3 linked regions of the Saccharomyces cerevisiae S288C genome follow. Changing the gene in region 2 together with the main gene of any one other region gives a genetic interaction. Each region holds a gene or a part of one and is shown on either strand. Other genes may lie near its edges. The genes, in order: RIM8, CUP9 and RIM101.

Evidence for each region.
Region 1: mutations in CUP9 (region 2) and RIM8 together harm fitness more than expected from each alone (negative genetic interaction), as found in Saccharomyces cerevisiae (2 studies listed by BioGRID).
Region 3: mutations in CUP9 (region 2) and RIM101 together harm fitness more than expected from each alone (negative genetic interaction), as found in Saccharomyces cerevisiae (4 studies listed by BioGRID).

What each region holds. Positions count from the first base shown.
Region 1 is NC_001139.9:412,077-415,836, reverse strand, and holds RIM8 (Rim8p), read right to left. Parts: upstream 1,736-3,760; coding exon 107-1,735; downstream 1-106. Other genes in the region: N-acetylglucosaminyldiphosphodolichol N-acetylglucosaminyltransferase catalytic subunit ALG13, read right to left, coding at 3,677-3,760.
Region 2 is NC_001148.4:212,497-215,994, reverse strand, and holds CUP9 (Cup9p), read left to right. Parts: upstream 1-2,032; coding exon 2,033-2,953; downstream 2,954-3,498. Other genes in the region: nuclear cap-binding protein subunit CBC2, read right to left, coding at 3,211-3,498. UniProt on the Saccharomyces cerevisiae protein: Probable DNA-binding protein which plays a role in protecting yeast cells against copper toxicity. May regulate the expression of important copper homeostatic genes.
Region 3 is NC_001140.6:49,111-52,870, reverse strand, and holds the start of RIM101 (alkaline-responsive transcriptional regulator RIM101), read right to left. Parts: upstream 1,761-3,760; coding exon 1-1,760. Other genes in the region: WSC4 (Wsc4p), read right to left, coding at 2,291-3,760. UniProt on the Saccharomyces cerevisiae protein: Transcription factor that mediates regulation of both acid- and alkaline-expressed genes in response to ambient pH.

The sequences.
Region 1 (3,760 bases), on a different chromosome or scaffold from region 2:
CATGGATCATTACGTGGCTGGGATAGTGGAAATATGCAAACATGATTAAGGCGCCTAGTTCCAACACGGCGCAAGCTGCGAGTATATGACTTGTTACCTGCACTTTTTAATAGTCATCACAAGGGGGAGGATCGCTTTCTAACTGTTGTAGTCTTTTTTGTTCAAGTTCTTGTTTGTCTTCCGACGGTACACTGACTTTATCATTTGGCGAATACTTTGGAACTGGAACATCGTCACTATCATATGCATTTAATGGGGCCAACCAATCTCTTAAATTCGATGGAGAATTTTGAGGAGCCGTGATTGAGGATTGGGATGGGATGCTTGCATCAGATTGCTGCTGTTCGGATCTCGTCGTTCCTATGACGGTTTCTATGGACATACCAGTTACATTCCTCAGTCTCTTTAGCTTTTCCACATTTACCATATCTTTGAAAAATATACTGGATTCATAACCCTCAGAATCGTTCTCCAACGTTTCTGGATTGACCATACGTAGCATTTTCCTTTGGATACGGTTGATATTATTCTCTACGCCCAAGCCATTTTGTTCTCCAATAGGAGTTCCTATTATTCTATTAGATTCTGTGTAAACCACGTTTTTTTTTGATAAGTTAACCATAACCTCGATATAGTATTGGAAGGAGAAAAATTTTCCCACAGTAGTAAGGGTCGAAAATGCATCAAGGGGCACTTTCAGATAAACTCTAGATTGAAACTGCAACGTTTCAGGGTTAATATATATAGGAGAGATACTCTGACATATATCTTTTCTGAAAGTCTCCATAGGATCATCTTTGCCTGCACCGCCCACCCTACATATCCTCACCAAAGTGGTGGTGAGACCCGCAGGGGCATAGAAAGGCTTATAGTGGTCAATCTTAACGTCTATAGGGATAATTTCACCAATCATGAATCCAGCCTGCGGTATGTCTACGGATATAGTCACCGTTTTATTTGGTAAGGGGGACGTCTTGGAGTTTACTGAACTGCTAGAAGAATTAGAAGTAGTAGACTTTTGAGTTAATTGTGTATACGATGAGGATTCGTCCTCTGTAGATTTGTTCTTTTTGTTTTGGACCATAGATGCTGATTGTAAAACCACTGTCTTAGTTTTCGGCTTGGGCAGCCTCGAGACGTCCAGCGGAACTATGACTGCAAACTCACGTTCGCATCTTGCTTCCGGTTTTTTTAATCCGTTGATGTTGTTGAGGGATTCTAAAGTGCAAGAGAGGAAGTATGTTATCGAGCCCCTTTCGAACTTTATAGAGCTCAACATTCCTCTGCCTCGTGGTATTCGTATCCTAAAGGGAAACCTGTGTTCCCCCTTGCTTAAACCATTGAGAATGGTGGTTTTGTCAACATGCGGTTTCTTTTCCTTAGCCGAAAAAGCTGTCTTTACGTAGTCCTGTCCATAAAGAAACGTCGACTTCTCTAAGGTTTTCTCAATTCTCTTATTCTTGGAGGTTGGACTGTTCCCCGTTTTCACGCGAACCTCACATACTAGCGATAATTTGATCGCTACGTTAGTTATGTCTCTCTTTATGTCAATGACCGCTTCTCCGGTTATGCTTTCATTCGGTTTCCATACTCTATGCGGTTCGTCTATGTCTATACGAAATTGCTTCACGTTGTTATGGGCCAGCATGCTGTTGCCGTAACTGCCAACAATACCATGACTCTTTATTTTTGATGGTGCCCTTGATTCTTTGTTCCACAGTCTCAGTAACGACATGTTTGGTCAATGCTACCGATAGTGAGGGTGATGCTGATGATACTATACTAGCGTACTTTGGCTTTAACGTTAAAATCTTGTACGTGCGTGAGATGATGCGTATTCGGGGATGTCTATTTTCTATTTTTTTTTTTTCTTCGTCTAGATTGTTACTTTTGACTCAATAGAGCTTAGACAATAATACTATAAGGAACTTTGAAGAAGAAATCAAATGTAAGGGGAAAAGGAAAGGGTATAAGCCTAAGAAAAATGGCACCTGCAGAAATTGCTAGACAGTAGAACGTGTTTTGAAGCCAATCGTTGGGATTGGAGCGGAAAAGTCCAAGAACAAATAACGAAGAAAGAAAACAAAGAAAGGCGATTAAGTAAAGTGGTAGTAGAGCAAGTACGAGAGAAGAGGAAGAGGCTTAGACACAAAAAAATACTATGTTTATTTAAACCAGACAGATAGCAAAGGAAGAAAGAAAGGGGAAAAAGAATAGAAGAGAAGAAACTTAAAAAAGGCCAAGGAAATTCCGGTACTTGGCATTTCGTACTCTGAGTGCGTGCGACCTGCAAGCCGAATAGCGATTTTCAGATTCTCCGATTGGCTTTTTTTCTTGGCAAACGATACGATTGCGAACGATCGCGCGTTCACACGTCACACCGCAGCATAGAGCGAGTAGAACGGTGCGTGTCAGCGTGGTCGGCGTAGCCTAGCAATTGCCACTAGTTGGCGGACGTTGTAGGCGGACACGCGCTGAACTCGGCCCCGTTGTGGCTCATTCGCACAGAAGACCCGTGCGAATGGGTGGGATGACAACGTGGAGCGAGAGCAGGAACTAGGACGGATTAAGACACTCGTTGAAAGTGCTATTTGAATTTATATAATATAGTCCGAGCGGGGTCTATATCGGACTATATAATGCATTCCAACCTTGGTAAGTTGCTTAGCAACATGCTCAGCGATCTCGGAGTCCCTGCGAATAATGTAGTGCAACAGTGGCTGTGATATGAGTATACATAGAGTGCCCGTCGGCTGTAGATATAGCAATTCCGATGAAGAGCGATACGGAGTTTTTGGGCTGGCGTACTTAGAGAGCGCTAGCCTTACGAGCATAGCAAAGATGGCCACTTTTCCGTAACAATGGCGCAGAAGTTGGTTATTGGGCCCGTGGCGCAAACTTGACGGGAGAGGTTACAGACACAATATACTGCAGTTGAGCGAAAGCCGACGTGTTGTATTAAGCGCTTGAGTAAAACCGGATGTTCTTGACGATCTTAATATTGTTAGGAGAGTAATCTGCGATCGTGGCTTTGCCTGACGCACTCAATCTTGCGTGGGAAAAACCTGAATACCACTTAATAGATGATATTTTAGAGTATCATTTGAACGGTAGGTATACTGAATATATTGAAAGTCCTCCCCAGGGATACGAGAGTTCATAGAAGGAAACTAACATTTCTAAATTATATTAATGTTATTTTTTTTCTTTCATTTCTTATGTTGTCACTTATTCTATTACATTATCAATCCGTGCATTTCAGCTTCCATTAAATCTGCTGACTGTTTCTCGATCTTCACGTTCTATCCTTACATCTTATATGATATTGTAATACAGCTATGAACAATAGTCTATAGATGGTGGTCGATTCTTGATACAACAGCTGCATGACGGTTGTTGATACAATTATTTTTAGAATTTTAGTGGACTCTCATAGGACTCTTGTCCCTAAACGAAACATCAAAAAACTGGTTTCGTGGTCTAGTCGGTTATGGCATCTGCTTAACACGCAGAACGTCCCCAGTTCGATCCTGGGCGAAATCAAGTTTTATTTTTTTCTGATCAAAAACGTCTAAGGCATTACGCGGATACTGCTAACTAACCAAAGAAACCTTCCATCTTTTTTTTTGGTAGTTGTCCTACTTTCCGTTCTTTTCGTCTTTTAAAATCTTACTAACTAGCTGTATATAGTTTCAACTAGCAATCGCTCAAATGACGGGTTATGAGAAACTGGGAATGGTTTGAGTTTCTCTGTTTGAGA
Region 2 (3,498 bases):
ATTACACATCGATTTATGCAGGCAATCAACTATAGTATACACAACATATACTCCTATGACTTGTAGATTTCTTGCCTAGGAAGACTAAATACGTTTAATTCTAAGATTAGGAGCCCATGCATTTAAAGTTGCTTTTTGCCTGTGCGGGACAATTTTATTAGTCAGTATGGACATCTCCGCGGGGAATTTTTTTATCGGCAGAGCTGTTTAGACAAAGGATATAGATAGTATAAGGTGTTAGTACACACATTTCAACATAGTTATATTAGGAAGATTGCCACAAATTTCCTCTTTTTTTTTTTTTTCTTGTTTTTATTACACCTCCGCCCCTTGAATACCTTAGAGGTTAAGAAGTGAAATGCCAAGAGAAAGCCTAATAGGACACACAGTATTTACCACGGGAAAAGCGCGGGATATTTGAATCAGCTGGAGATTATTATGTACGCCATGTATATTTTTAGAGACGGCTTGTAACGGGTGCCAAGATATTCCATATTTTTATGTCTCAAAAAGGAAGAAAAGAGCTACGAGCACGTGCAAATATATGAACTTCAACACCTGTAGAAACTCGATAGTGAATAAATCAATCACAGTGCTTTCCTTGAAATAAGCTTCTGTCTGAACTTTAACAGTGATTTTTTTTTTATAGAACAGGCCTTTTCATCTGCAGAGATATGTCTAGTCTCGTAGGTTTTGACTCGTAACTTTGACTTCTGCATCTGGATCGTCAAAGCAACCCATACTTGACTTGATTACATTAGCATCAAAGAAAATCGTGCCAACGCCTTTTAGTCATGTCGAACGGTAGAGGAGGAGAAAGAGGGAGCTATCAAATTTAAAATTCGCAAACAAGCTGTTGAGAGCGACATAATAGCAATATTGTCGGGCCCCTTAAACACGTTTCATTAGTGTTTTAAGTGCCAAGCCAATGTGTTAGTAAGCTTGTAAAGGAATGCACGTATTAGAAAGTGAGCAACTTAAAAGTGAGCAAATATGATTAAAGTAGTATGCCTCCGAAGCTCGTCTTGTACTGCAAACTAAGCACAGAATATGCCGCACAAATGTCGGTGCCTATTATACATATGCTTTTCGTTATGTGTCTTAACAGACCTGACCGTTAACGGCAACAGAGAAAAGGAGCACTACCGACGGCTTTTTGCTTCTGGCCTATTTAGTGCCTGAGAATTTTGTGCGTGTTTCCTAGTGTCCGGCGGGCTTGACCTAGTCCACACTTCCAACAAGCACAAGCAGCGTGCTTCCTCACACTGGCGAATGCACCCAGAGTCGGCGTTGCCCGAAGTAAGAACCCTACCGCTACTCTGGCGCAGGCGCAGAGGAGCCACAGCCCTTTAAGACGCAAAAAAAGTAAAGCGGCAAAAGAAAAAACTGTCACTTTCGGACCGTTGGGTTATCCACGGGGTTTTCTGAGCACTCATGATCGGTAGCGGTATATTTCTGATCTCGCTCATTTTCTGTCAAATCGTCCTGATAATGGACGAAGACTGTACGTAAAGGGCAATTTTAAGAGACACAAAAGAATCCCACGAGAATTACTACTGTTGATTTTTGTGATTGGCTAGATAAGAAACCTTATCCGCTCACGCGCGTATTACTTCCTTCTTCGGATTCAGATTTCTTTCTGTGGGAACGGGTCATTTCTGCCATCTTACGTCTCTCAGCTTTTCTCTTTTGTTGAACCTTAATTTATTCATGTACATCAAGCTGTAGTTTGTTTTTTTCTTTTGGTAATTAATTTTTGTCCTTTTGTTTTCTTACAGCGTGTATATATTAATGATTAATTTTCTATGACTGATTTCGTCGCGCCCGGCGTTTTCTTGTCTCTTAATGCCTCCTGTTTCTGTTAATTGGTAAGATTATGTTAAATTGGTCAAGATATATACTAATACAATTTTTTAGTTGATCTTCCCACCCTTGTTTTCAAGCGATACCACGCCTATCCAGTGCTACTGATCGCTACTTGCCGAGCCCCTACTTTTATGCTAACAACCTTCGAGAATAGTTACATTCGAAGATGAATTATAACTGCGAAATACAAAACAGGAACAGTAAGAATGTTGACAATCAAGTCAGTCTACCCCCTATCCAAGTTCTATTTAACTCCATAGAAAAACGGAGTATGCCCGAGTTGGCATTTTCGAACATAGAATACTCGCATGGGAACCTTCGGTCTAGTACCGAGGAACAAAACTATCCTGCGCCTGTGTTACTTCCACAGCATCATTCGATTGCGTATCCCGCAATTAATTCTGGCGGTACTAGTACTACTGCTACTCCTACTGCTTCTACAGTTGAAACGTCCAAGACGAGTAGCAGTGCTATGGATACACAATCTCAATATGGCAGTTCAAAGAAGTCAAAATCGGCGTCCGATGATGCAAAGCCCTGCTACAAATCCGCCCCAATATATGAAATAATCAATAAGGAAAAGGATGCGGGGGCACAATACAACAGGCCATTTTCGGATTTTGTAGAATCTAAATCAAGGAGGAAGCAAAATTCGGGCAGGAGGTCTAACCTGCCAAAGGAAACAGTGCAGATACTGAATACTTGGTTGCTGAACCACCTGAATAACCCCTACCCAACTCAACAAGAAAAGAGGGAGTTGTTAATCAAAACTGGGCTAACCAAGATTCAACTTTCTAATTGGTTCATAAATGTGAGAAGACGCAAAATATTTAGTGATTACTATACCCTGGTAAACTCAATTCCTAATGACAACGCGAATAATACCCCAGTGGAACGAGTTCAAAACGTCTCAGCATATCATAACACATTATCTGCCACAAATAATACTATGTACGATGCTACGTCAACCTGCTCCACGGATTATGAATTATCCAAGAGATTTGCTCATGCCCCCGTTACACGCCGTAAAAAACTAATTGATAGGCTGGAAGAATTGAAAAAGCTATCCAACCCTGATATGAATTGATCACTTATCAATGCATTACTTAAATATTCATATAATTATATCTATTACCATTTACATTTTATCGTTACTATATATAGTATTATCATGTCATTGAACGTGTTACGTCTATTATGTTACACTGATTTTTTTTTTTTTTTTTTACATAACAGCATCATGCAAGCCTTTAAAAATAATGTAGGTATGTATATATACAATAATATATATATATATATATATATCTGTGTGTAGAATCTTTCTCAGATATAAATTGATTGATTCTACTGAGGTACGTAGTTATCATCTTCTCTTTCTTCATCGAAACCTGGTCTGAAAGTACCCATTGCATCAGGAGGAGGGATATAATTATTCGTATTAGATTGTGAGCTACTGTTATCAAATCTGGAATGTGGTACGCCGACACGCTCTGCAAATGGAATGGCGAAGCCACCTCTGGATGCATCAAAATCGAACCTCAATTCATCGCTGACTTGACCACCGCTCTTACCACGACCAAACTGTCTTCCATCTTCAAAACCAGGATCTAGATCAATGGTAATTGTCTTTTC
Region 3 (3,760 bases), on a different chromosome or scaffold from region 2:
TCACTTTCTTCATCATCTAAATCTTCCATGACACAGCACAACAAGTAGTCCTTGATAATGTTCACTATACCCAACATCTCTACGAAATCATCCTCTATCTCGCTTTCGTCATCTACTTCTTCAATCGCCAGCTTACTCATGATAATATCATTAGTACAGCTTTTTTGGTTCAGGCTAAATTCCCAGTTAGGCTTCAATGAAGTTCCACCTGCCATTGTACGGCGCGATGGTAACATTGGTATCTTTGATTGTAGAGGCGGTAATATAGAACAGCCACTGGAGGAATAGCTAGGCGCAGCACGAACAGATGGATAGTGTGGCATAGCATACTGTGATTGGCGGTTGAAAACACCACCGGCAGTGTTCGAATGTAAAGGTGGCAAATGTTCAGTAAGCGAAGGACCAGTTGGATACTTGGCCAACCGTACTGGCACATAAGTTGCTGTATTTGCAGTGGCCGAAATAGAGCTACCACCTTGTACGGATTGGTATGAAGGAGCATTAGGTGGCTGCACATAGCTTGTTTGTGCTACGGGGATGCGCCCAGATGATGACGAGGACTCAGTACTACCACCGCTTTGTTGCAAAATGTAGTTATTTGTCATATTTCTCGATAGTTTGGTGAAGAATTGGGTGGCGTTTGCTATGGTCTTATTAGAACAACCGTCCTCGTAGACATTCATGCTCCGACTGTTGGCACCTTGGCTTACCGTGCTGCCGTTATTGTAGTATAATGGCGGCAAGATCGTTTGCAATCTGGCACTCAATTGTGGAGAATATACCGGCTTATACTGAGATAGCTCGTCTGAGCATAGTTGGTTTAAGGAAATAGCCCGCTGCTGCTGTTGTGAAGGCAGATGTTGAGATATACCCACGGGCAATGGGGGTAATATCTGTGGAGAAGTAGAATGTGACTTAAAGCTACCAGCTATAGCGGAAGGCACAGATGCAGAACAAGACGACACTGCGTCGCTTGCACAACTTTTGTTTTTCTTAGAAGTTCTTTTTGAGCCCCATTTGGGTCCCCTCTTTCTTTTCAAAATACCGCCACTTTCCAGATGAATTTTCAAATGCTTTTTTAAATCTTGCGGACGTTTAAACTTTTTGGAGCACGTAGAGCAACCGAACGGTTTCAATGGTACGTGAACTCTCAAATGCGAGGTGATATGGTCCCTTTTCTCCGTCTTCGTGGTACAGTCTCCCCAATGACAATTCAATTGTAGGTTCTTATGTGACTTCCTGCCAACATGGTCATGACACAGATGATTATATAGCAGCTCTGGTTGGTTGAAAATCATACCACAGTTGTCCCATTTACAATATAGTGTTATATCCTCAGAATCACCGTCATTATCCGCATCGTCGTCATCACCTGCCGGGTTATGCGCTTGTGCCAATGGCGAGGAGGAGGACGAGTCAGAGGAAGATGATGTGGTGGGTGAAACTGCCGAAGCGCCCAATAGATCGTATGGAGGAGTGTTCAAGTGTGAAGTACTATGATATGGTAAGCATGATGAAGAAGTGCTGCCTGGTGACATCCGTTCATCTTCTTGACCGTTCAAGCCAATAGCTTCCGTGGTACACCTAATTCTAGGCCTCTTCGAACAATCAGAAGACCTTTTAGATAGGTTAGGACTGGGCAGCCCGTCCTTCTTTGTGACGTTAGAAACGTCTGTCCCATTTTCTACTATACTCTCCCGGCTGTGTTGAGGTGCGGCAGTGCCATTTTCTTTATTAAGCAGATCTTCCAATGGCACCATCTTAAGTCAATTTAAACAAACCTACTTTACCGTTTTCAGTATTTTATCTTTGCACTTGTTCAAAAAGTGTTGTGCAATAGCAATATTACTTTCTCAGTGGAAGTGATAACAGACCAATAAAAAAAAAAAAGGTTATAGACGGTGACTCTTATGAAAACATTTAGTTCCTTTCTATATTATTGAGTCTTAATTTTTTATCTTTTGTCTCGTAGATTGGCATCCCTCACCCGTCTGAAATGATTTTATAAGCCTCCGTCATCTCGGACGTAATTTTAGAAACTCCGAGCTGGACGGCTATTTTATTTTCTGCGCCGTAATCTGTGAATCACAGAGAATGTCTCGCACGAACGCGGTATTTAGATTATTGTGCCTGCTGTCACTGGGCAGAGAAAAGTATGTACAAGATAACAGCGTTATTGTCGTAAAGCATTCTTTTGAGAACATTCGAAGGAAAAAAACAAAGTTCAGAATTAAAATTATGTATGTATTATCGTTCGTGGAATATTTATTACGTATAAGAGCTGCAGTCTTTATTCGTTCATTAGCCGCAGAACCCTCCTGGAGTAGTCTACGTTGTCTGATAACGAAATGGTAGAGTGGTTTGTGGCATCGTCATTTGCTAAAGTGTTAAGCATCTTACTTGGGTCTAGCCTCTGATCCACCAGTACCGTGTCTTCACCTAGAGTAACGTTTGATTCCATTTTTTCGTGTTGCTTTTGAATGGGCGAATGAAGAAAAGTAGAAGTTCTTCTGGGAAGAATGGGATCGTGAAATGGGCTTGCCAACGTGCTTGGGTCATTTGGTGGACTGCCTGCAGTCAAGGAATACGTAGATTGACGTGGGGATGGTGATTCAGACATAATTTGTCCCTTTTCATCAGTGTATATTAATCTTGGGGTCGAGAAAGTTGAATTTGAAGATGGTGAAGGCGTGTGTAACGTGGTAGTGGTAACTTCATTTGGGTACTTGGACTGGTAAAACTTACTCTGATATTCATTCTCAAAATCTTGAGCCTTCCGAGCGGGTCTTGTTCTATAATGATGTATTAAGTATATTAGTATGCATATAATTACCAAACATACCACTCCAACCACGACGAAAGTAGCGGCTATTTTCCCGGGCGAATCCCAGTACCCTTTCTTTTCTGTAGACTTGTTAGTTGGTGTATTGCTGTTGGTGGTGTTACTATTGTTATTGTTTGTTATTCTACCACCTACGCTGGCAGACGTAGTAGCCACTGCAGAAGTAGGAGTAGCCCCGAGGGTGGAAGAGTAAATCTGCGTTATTACTTTTTTCATGGTGAGATATCTCGAGGTGATTTCCGAAATGTTAGTGTCCATGGTGTGCACTGAAGTCACTGTTATCACAGAATACTTTAAGGAGGTCTGCAGGTTTACAGAAGTTATAGTGGACGTTATTGGAGATGCTGTGGTACTGGTGTAAGTAACCGTAGTGCTTGAAGGGGCTGTACTGGGTGATGTCGTAGTGAACGTTGTGCTCGTTGGTGTTGTATTAGACGAGCTTGTAGGTGCTGAAGAAGAAGTTGGCGATGTTGTACTTGTTGAAGTGGAAGTTGACGACGTCGTGCTTGTAGAAATGGGGGCTGACGATGTTGTGGTTGGAGTTGATGATGATGATGATGATGTGCTCGTGGAAATGAGGGTTGACGACGTAGTACTTGTGGTGGTAGATGTTGATGATGTGACACTTACGGTCGTAGAAGTCGACGATGAGGTACTTGTGGTGGTAGAGGTTGACGATGTCGTGCTTGTGGGAATGGATGTTGACAACTTTGTGCTTGTAGTCGTGGGCAGTGCCGATGTTATATCAGTTGATGGTGTTGTACTGGTTGAGGCGGTTGTCAATGGGGTCGTACTCGTTGACGTCAGAGTCGGCGAGATTGTGGTTGTGTCCACAATACTCGTACTACTACTACTCGTGATAGAGCTACTTGAAACGTACACACTGGACTCTGTTGACGTTTCCACACTCTGTACAGA